Linked DNA regions of Macaca fascicularis. The protein of the gene in region 1 interacts with the protein of each later gene in a pairwise test. Links are inferred from orthologs where the notes say so. Each region holds a gene or a part of one and is shown on either strand. Other genes may lie near its edges. The genes, in order: GAPDH and PRDX1.

The links.
Region 2: the proteins of GAPDH (region 1) and PRDX1 interact in a two-hybrid assay, tested with the Homo sapiens proteins (2 studies listed by BioGRID and IntAct, with this or other methods). The link is inferred for Macaca fascicularis from reciprocal best matches to the Homo sapiens genes GAPDH and PRDX1.

Annotation. Positions count from the first base shown.
Region 1 is NC_088385.1:7,455,196-7,459,102, forward strand, and holds the start of GAPDH (glyceraldehyde-3-phosphate dehydrogenase), read left to right. Parts: upstream 1-1,627; 5' UTR 1,628-1,772; intron 1,773-1,944; 5' UTR 1,945-1,961; coding exon 1,962-1,990; exon of another isoform or gene 1,991-2,498; intron 2,499-3,298; exon of another isoform or gene 3,299-3,639; coding exon of another isoform or gene 3,640-3,665; coding exon 3,666-3,765; intron 3,766-3,846; coding exon 3,847-3,907. UniProt on the Homo sapiens protein: Has both glyceraldehyde-3-phosphate dehydrogenase and nitrosylase activities, thereby playing a role in glycolysis and nuclear functions, respectively.
Region 2 is NC_088375.1:189,206,341-189,210,147, forward strand, and holds part of PRDX1 (peroxiredoxin-1), read left to right. Parts: intron 1-329; coding exon 330-452; intron 453-688; coding exon 689-819; intron 820-3,679; coding exon 3,680-3,765; 3' UTR 3,766-3,807. UniProt on the Homo sapiens protein: Thiol-specific peroxidase that catalyzes the reduction of hydrogen peroxide and organic hydroperoxides to water and alcohols, respectively.

The DNA.
Region 1 (3,907 bases):
TGGTGCAGGAGCATGGAGGTGCTCTTAACGCTCTGGATGGGAAAGGGTTAATGGTCCTGGTTGCAGGAATAGCTGAGTCAGAGGTGGGGCTTCCTCCACTCCCCCACCCCACCCTTCCACCATTAAGGACCCTCTTGCCTTGCTCTTGCTACTCTGCTCTGGGTGGTCATTGTGAAAAGCCCGCACCAACCATGCCAATGGCAGCCAGACGAGGACACAGCCTGGTTCTGGGTCCCAGGAGGAAAGGCAATCCCAGAAAGGCAGGGACAAGGACTGGAGTCCTGTGGGTGCCTTTTAAGCAAAGATTATCACCAGGCGGGCTAAACTTAGCAAACGGCTTTTAGCTAGAAGGGCAGGGGGCTGGTGTCAGGTTATGCTGGGCCAGCAAAGAGGCCCAGGATCCCCCTCCCATGCACCTGCTGATGGGCCAAGGCCACCCCACCCCACCCCCTTCCTTACAAGTGTTCAGCACGCTCCCATCCCACACTCACAAACCTGGCCCTCTGCCCTCCTACCAGAGAAATGGATACCCTGTGGGAAGGGGCAGGGGGCCTGTTCCCACCATGTGCCCAAGACCTCTTTTCCCACTTTTTCCCTCTTCTTGACTCACCCTGCCCTCAATATCCCCCAGCGAAGCCAGTGAAGGGGAGTCCCTGGCTCCTGGCTCGCCTGCACGTCCCAGGGCGGGGAGGCACTTCCGCCCTCACGTCCCGCTCTTCGCCCCGGGCTGGATGGAGTGAAAGGCACACTGTCTCTCACCCTAGGCAGCACAGCCCACGGGGCTCCAGGAGTGACTTTGTGGGAGGCCTCTGGGCCCCCACCAGCCATCCTGTCCTCCGCCTGGGGCCCCAGCCCGGGGAGAGCCGCTGGTGCACACAGGGCCTGGATTGTCTGCCCTAATCATCAGGTCCAAGCTACAGGGCTGCAGGACATCGTGACCTTCCGTGTAGAAACCTCCCCCTCAAGCCGCCTCCCGAGCCTCCTTCCTCTCCAGGCCCCCACTGCCCAGTGCCCAGGCCAGGCCTCGGTCCCAGAGAGGCCAGGAGCCAGGAGATGGGGAGGGGGAAGTGGGGGCTGGGAAGGGCCCACGGGCCCCTCCTAGCCCTTTGCTTCAGCTATTCCGGTGTCACTACCGCAGAGCCTCGAGGAGAAGTTCCCCAACTTTCCCGCCTCTCAGCCTTTGAAAGAAAGGGGAGGGGGCAGGCCGCGTGCAGCCGCGAGCCGTGCAGGGCTCGGGCTCCAATTCCCCATCTCAGTCGCTCCCAAAGTCCTGTTTCATCCGTGCGTGTAAGGGCCCCCGTCCTTGACTCCCTAGTCTCCTGCTGCCCACACTCCAGTCCTGGGAAGCAGCACCGATCACCTCCCATCGGGCCAGTCTCAGTCCCTTCCCCCCTCCGTCGGGGCCCACACGCTTGATGCGTGCCCAGTTGAACTAGGCGGCTGCGGAAAAAAAAAAAGAGCAGGGAGAAAGCAGGGCCCCGCTACTCGCGGTTTTACGGGCGCACGTAGCTCAGGCCTCAAGTCCTTGGACTGGGACTGGCTGAGCCCGGCGGGAGGCGGGGTCAGAGTCACCGCCTGCCGCCGCGCCCCCGGGTTTCTATAAATTGAGCCCGCAGCCTCCCCCTGCGCTCTCTGCTCCTCCTGTTCGAGAGTCAGTCGCATTTTCTCTTGCATCGCCAGGTGAAGACGGGCGGAGAGGAGCCCGGAGGCTAGGGACGGGCCTGAAGGCGGCAGGAGCGGGCGTGGGCCGGACGTGTTCGCGCCGCTGCGGGGTGGGCGCGGGCCAGGGTCCGGGTCCGGGCCCGGGCTGCCTCCGCATTGCAGGGGCGGGCGGAGGACGTGATGCGGCGCGGGCTGGGCATGGAGGCTGGTGGGGGGAGGGGAGGGGAGGCGTGGGTGTCGACCGGGACCACTAGGCGCTCACTGTTCTCTCTCTCCGCGCAGCGCATCCCTGAGACACCATGGGGAAGGTGAAGGTCGGAGTCAACGGGTGAGTTCGTGGGTGGCTGGGGGGCCCTGGGCCGCCCGCAAACTGCGTCTACGAGCCTTGCGGGCTCCGGGTCTTTGCTGTCGTATGGGGTAGGGTAGCTGCGTCCGGCAAGGAGAGCTCAAGGTCAGCGCTCGGACCTGGCGGAGCCCCGCACCCAGGCTGTGGCGCCCTGTGCAGCTCCGCCCTTGCGGCGCCATCTGCCCGGGGCCTGCCTTCCCTAGTCCCCAGGACAGGAGGTCCCTACTCCCGCCCGAGATTCCATCCGACCCGGACCCCTAGCTGGGGACGCTTTCTTTCCTTTCGCGCTCTGCGAGGTCACGTGTCGCAGAGGAGCCCCTCCCCCATGGCCTCCGGCACCGCAGGCCCCGGGATGCTAGTGCGCAGCGGGTGCATCCCAGTCCGGAGGCTGCGCCTGCGGTAGAGCGGCCGCCATGTTGCAACCGGGAAGGAAATGAATGGGCCGCCGTTAGGAAACCCTGCCGGTGACTAACCCTGCGCTCCTGCCTCGGTGGGTGGAGTCGCGTGTGGCGGGGAAGTCAGGTGGAGCGAGGCTTCCCGGCCCCTGCTCTCAAGTCGGCCCCTGAGCTGCAAGCCCTATTTCCCCTCCGGGTGATGCTTTTTCTAGATAATTCTCTGGTAAATCAAAGAAGTGGGTTTATGGAGGTCCTCCTGCGTCCCCTCCCTCCAGAGGTGTGGTGGCTGTGGCTTGGTGCCAAGCCGGGGGGAGCTGAGTCATCGGTAGTTGGAAAAGGACATTTCCACCGCAAAATGGCCCCTCTGGCGGTGGCCCCTTTCTGCAGCGGCGGCTCACCTTATGGCCCCCTCTTCCCCTGCCAGCCTAGCGTTGACCCCCCACCCCAAAGGCCAGGCTGTAAATGTCACCCGGAGGATTGGGTGTCTGGGAGCCTCGGGAAACCTGCCCTTCTCCCCATTCCGTCTTCCAGAAACCAGATCTCCCACCGCACCCTGGTCTGAGGATAAATATAGCTGCTGACCTTTCTGTAACTGGGGGCCTGGGCTTGGGCCGTCTCCCATCCCTTCTCCCACACACATGCACACACCTGTGCTCCCACTCCTGAATTCTGGAAAAGAGCTAGGAAAGGACTGGAAGCTTGCAAATTAAAGCCCTGGGACTAGGGGGTTAAAAAACAACTTCCCCTCTTCCCCCGGCCCAATCTCTGTCCCTTTTGTAGGCGGGACTTAGAGAAGGGGTGGGCTTGCCCTGTCCAATTAATTTCTGACCTTTACTCCTGCCCTTTGAGTTTGGTGATGCTGAGTGTACAAATCTTTTCTCCTTAAACGGTGCAGTTTGAAGCTGAGCTAGGCAGCAGCAAGCATTCCTGGGGTGGCATAGTGAGGTGCTGAATGCCACGTGCAAAGCTTGTGCCCAGACTGTGGGTGGCAGTGCCCCACATGGCCGCTTCTCCTGGAAGGGCTTCCTATGACGGGGGGTGTTAGGCAGCAGTGGAGCCTTCAGTTGCAGCCATGCCGTAAAGCCAGGCCAGCCTGGCAGGGGAGCTCAAGGGAGATACAATTCACCTCTTAATGGAGGTAAGGAGATGCTGGGGGTAAGGAGATGCTGCATTCGCCCTCTTAATGGAGAGGTGTCCTAGGGCAGCTCACATACTGTGGAGAAGCCTCCTCTCCTCATGCCTTCTTGCCTCTTGTCTCTTAGATTTGGTCGTATTGGGCGCCTGGTCACCAGGGCTGCTTTTAACTCTGGTAAAGTGGATATTGTTGCCATCAATGACCCCTTCATTGACCTCAACTACATGGTGAGTGCTGCCCCAAAGCTGATGTGGGAGGAGCCACCTGGCTGCCAGGCAGCCCCTTCACACCCTTGCGTATTCCCCCAGGTTTACATGTTCCAGTATGATTCCACCCATGGCAAGTTCCATGGCACCGTGAAGGCTGAGA
Region 2 (3,807 bases), on another chromosome or scaffold:
CACCGCACCTGGCCGCATGTGAACTTTTAAAACAGCAACTGGGAAGCTTTGGCAATAGACTTTCAAGTATTGGCTTCTCATGGAAGAAGTGCAAAGTCTGACTTTCTCTTACTGCTCATGACCTGGCAGCAGAGAAGCAGCAGCTTCAGTTGCAGTTGAGTGTACCCTAGTAACCTACCTTAACTGTTCTCAGCATTCACTTTATTGCTGGAAAAGGAAAAAAACAGTTTTTTTGGAAAGTTAGATTAGGAATATGGGAAAGGGGGAAAGAGGAATAGGTACAGTTAAGTCAAGAGTTTGAATGTAACTGTGTTTGCCTTTTGCCGTAGGATCAACACACCTAAGAAACAAGGAGGACTGGGACCCATGAACATTCCTTTGGTATCAGACCCGAAGCGCACCATTGCTCAGGATTATGGGGTCTTAAAGGCTGATGAAGGCATTTCATTCAGGTATGTCATCAGGACAAGTACCCAGTTGGCTGAAAGCCTTTTATTTGGAGAAATCTAGAGCCCTGATCTGTAGAGACTCCTTCATCATTTCATTCCTTTATGCAGGGGCCTTCTCACTAAGGCCAGGCCAGTATGAATGTGGAGACCAGTTCATTTCCTTAAGACTTCAAGCTTCTGTATTCTAACAAAGCACATCTTTAAACCTGTATTGCTTTTCCTTTCATCTCTTTTCCCAGGGGCCTCTTTATCATTGATGATAAGGGTATTCTTCGGCAGATCACTGTAAATGACCTCCCTGTTGGCCGCTCTGTGGATGAGACTTTGAGACTAGTTCAGGCCTTCCAGTTCACTGACAAACATGGGGAAGGTAAGCCATCTGTCTGATAAAAGGATAACAGAGTGGTGGTAGAATGGGAAAGATAGTAGGAACAGAAGCTACCTAATAAGAAAAGGGGTATTTCTCTTCAAGATATTGAAGCCCCTGGATTACAGTATGTGAGGGTGAGGGTAATGGAAAAGCTTGGGAAGGAGAATATAAAGACTTTTTATTCGAAGTGTACATACTCCTCTCTTCTGCCCTGCTCATTTAGAATCAGTCACTCCTAAAGATCTAACTTAATGTAGGATGATCTCACAGATGTATTAGGGCAAAACAAAATGGTTGGGAATCACATCTAGAGATGAAGCATGCCATTTAAAAAATAACTGTTGAGAGAAGAGGTTAATCCATATAGTTCATATTTGTATTTATTTATTTATTTATTTTTTGCAAGACAGAGTCTTGCTCTGTTGCCCAGGCTAGAGTGCAGTGGCGCAGTCTTGGCTCACTGTGACCTCCACCTCCCATGAGCCATCGCGCCCAGCCCAGACTAGCTTTCTAAGGCCCATTTTAGCTCTGATCTTGTAATTTAAAGAAAATGAAGTTTAGTGACTAGAGTCTGGATTAGTGGTGTATGTTTGGGAAGACCCAAAGGTGCTAGTTTGGCTAGCACCAAATAATCTTTTTACAGGGATTACTTTTTAATCCCTGTAAGAGTCTGATTATATAGGGATCAGTGAGCACTGATAACCAGGAGGTACCCTTTTCAGAAGGATGTGTGGGCAATTAGCCTGGACAGATAACACATGGCTCAGCTGACACCTGCTGAGACTGCCCCTTTGTGGGAGATGAGGTTCAGCATTAAGAAGGAGCCGGCAGTGGCAAAGTAGGCCCTTTAACTGGACTTTCCTGGGAACCTACATACAGGTTAGTCTCCCGAACACAAGCTTTCATGACTCAGAAGCTTGCTTCTTCAGACTCTATTGGTCTCTTCTGCTTCCCATCCCACTGGAACATGTACAGCTTCTTAAATAGGCACCATTCAAGAGCCTATGAATGCCAAACACTATATATATATATATATTTTTTTTTTTTTTTTTTTTTTTTTTTGAGACAGAATCTTGTTTTGTTGCCCAGACTGGAGTGCAGTGGTGTGATCTCGGCTTACTGCAGCCACCACCTCCTGGGTTCAAGCAATTCTCTAGCATCAGCTTCCTGAGTAGCTAGGACTACAGGGGCCCACCACCATGCCCCACTAATTTTTGTATGTTTTGTAGAGATGCGATTTTGCCATGTTGGCCAGGCTGGTCTCAGAACTCCTGAGCTCAAGCTCAAGCAGTCCTCCGCCTTGGCCTCCCAAAGCACTGGGATTATAGGCGTGAACCACTGTGCCCGGCTGCCAAACACTTGTTTTTTTGAGATGGAGTCTCGCACTGTCATCCAGGCTAGAGTGCAGTGGTATGATCTCAGCTCACTGCAACCTCTGCATCAAGCAATTCTCCTGCCTCAGCCTCCCGAGTACCTGGGATTATAGGCGCTCACCACCACGCCCAGCTAATTTTTTATATTTTTAGTAGAGACGGGGTTTCATTATGTTGGCCAGGCTGGTATTTATTTGCTTTTATGCTGTTCTTTCCAACTTGTTTATCTTTAGGACCTGTATTGTAACCCTTTGATATCACTAAAGCCAATAACTAACAATCAGATGGAGATTTTAGGAAAATAATGGCAGCTTGTCCTTCTATTTAGCTCTTGTTCCATCTGTACCTTATGCCTAGAGAGCTGTTTGTAGAGTCTTGATATTTGAGGTTATGATATCCTTGGACCAAAGAGGGGCCTCCCTATGTCTCACTTGAGCAATTGAGACTCTTGCTGCTCCTGCTGGACTTTGATTACATGTCTCGTAGAATATGACAGCACATGGTAGTGGAAAAATCAGGCCAGGTGCGGTGGCTCACGCCTGTAATCCTAGCACTTTGGGAGGCCGAGGCAGGCAGATCACCTGAGGTCAGGAGTTTGAGATCAGCCTGGCCAACATCGTGAAACCCCATCTCTACTAAAAATACAAAAATTAGCCGGGTGCGGTGGCAGGCGCCTGTAATCCCAGCTACTTGGGAGGCTTATGCAGGAGAATTGCTTGAACCTGGGAGACCAAGGTTGCAGAGAGAGGTGGGGATCACGCCACTGCACTCCAGCCTGGGCAACACAGCGAGACTCCATCTCAAAAAAAGAAAAAGAAAAATGAGAGATTAGTCCCCTTGCCTCACTTTCTTCAGGCTAGCCTGAGACACATTCTTAGGCATTGTCAGGAAAAGGTTGAAGGCTGTGCTTTCTGTATACATTCACGAAAAATCTCAAACTTTGCCTTTTGCTTACCGAGGGGTAGATGGCAGTTACTTAATGAAACAAGCAGGGGCTTCTATTAAGTTCTTGATCCTTTATAAGGTTCAGGCTTTCCAGTTTGGTAGCGTTAGAAGAATGCTGAGAAGGCAGACTGAGGTTGCTGCCTTCAGAGTTCTGAAAGGCTGTCAGAGGGAAACAGTTTAGTGTTAAGGGTTTACATAGTTCTATGTGTATCATTTACTTAGCTTTTTTTTTTTCCCTTAAGGACTAGAGAGTGTTGGCAAATCATTTAAACTTGCCTTTTTTGTGGAAAATTTAAATTTTAAGTGCTACATGAATAAATTAGGCATAATAGTATCTTAAGGCTGTGGTGATGATTATATAATGTTTGTAAAATAGTTAGGTTACACTAAAAGGCTGAATGATCTTAGACCGATTGCAGGGGTAGGTTTCCTGGTATCTGAGTGTTCAGGCTCTTTAGGGTGCAGAACTGGTTTTGTCCATAGGAGAATGGTGGTGCATACCATTGAGAAGGTTATTAATTAGTGGTACCTTTCTTTTGCAGTGTGCCCTGCTGGCTGGAAACCTGGCAGTGATACCATCAAGCCTGATGTCCAAAAGAGCAAAGAATATTTCTCCAAGCAGAAGTGAGCGCTGGGCTGTTTTAGTGCCAGGCTGCAGTGGGCAGCCATG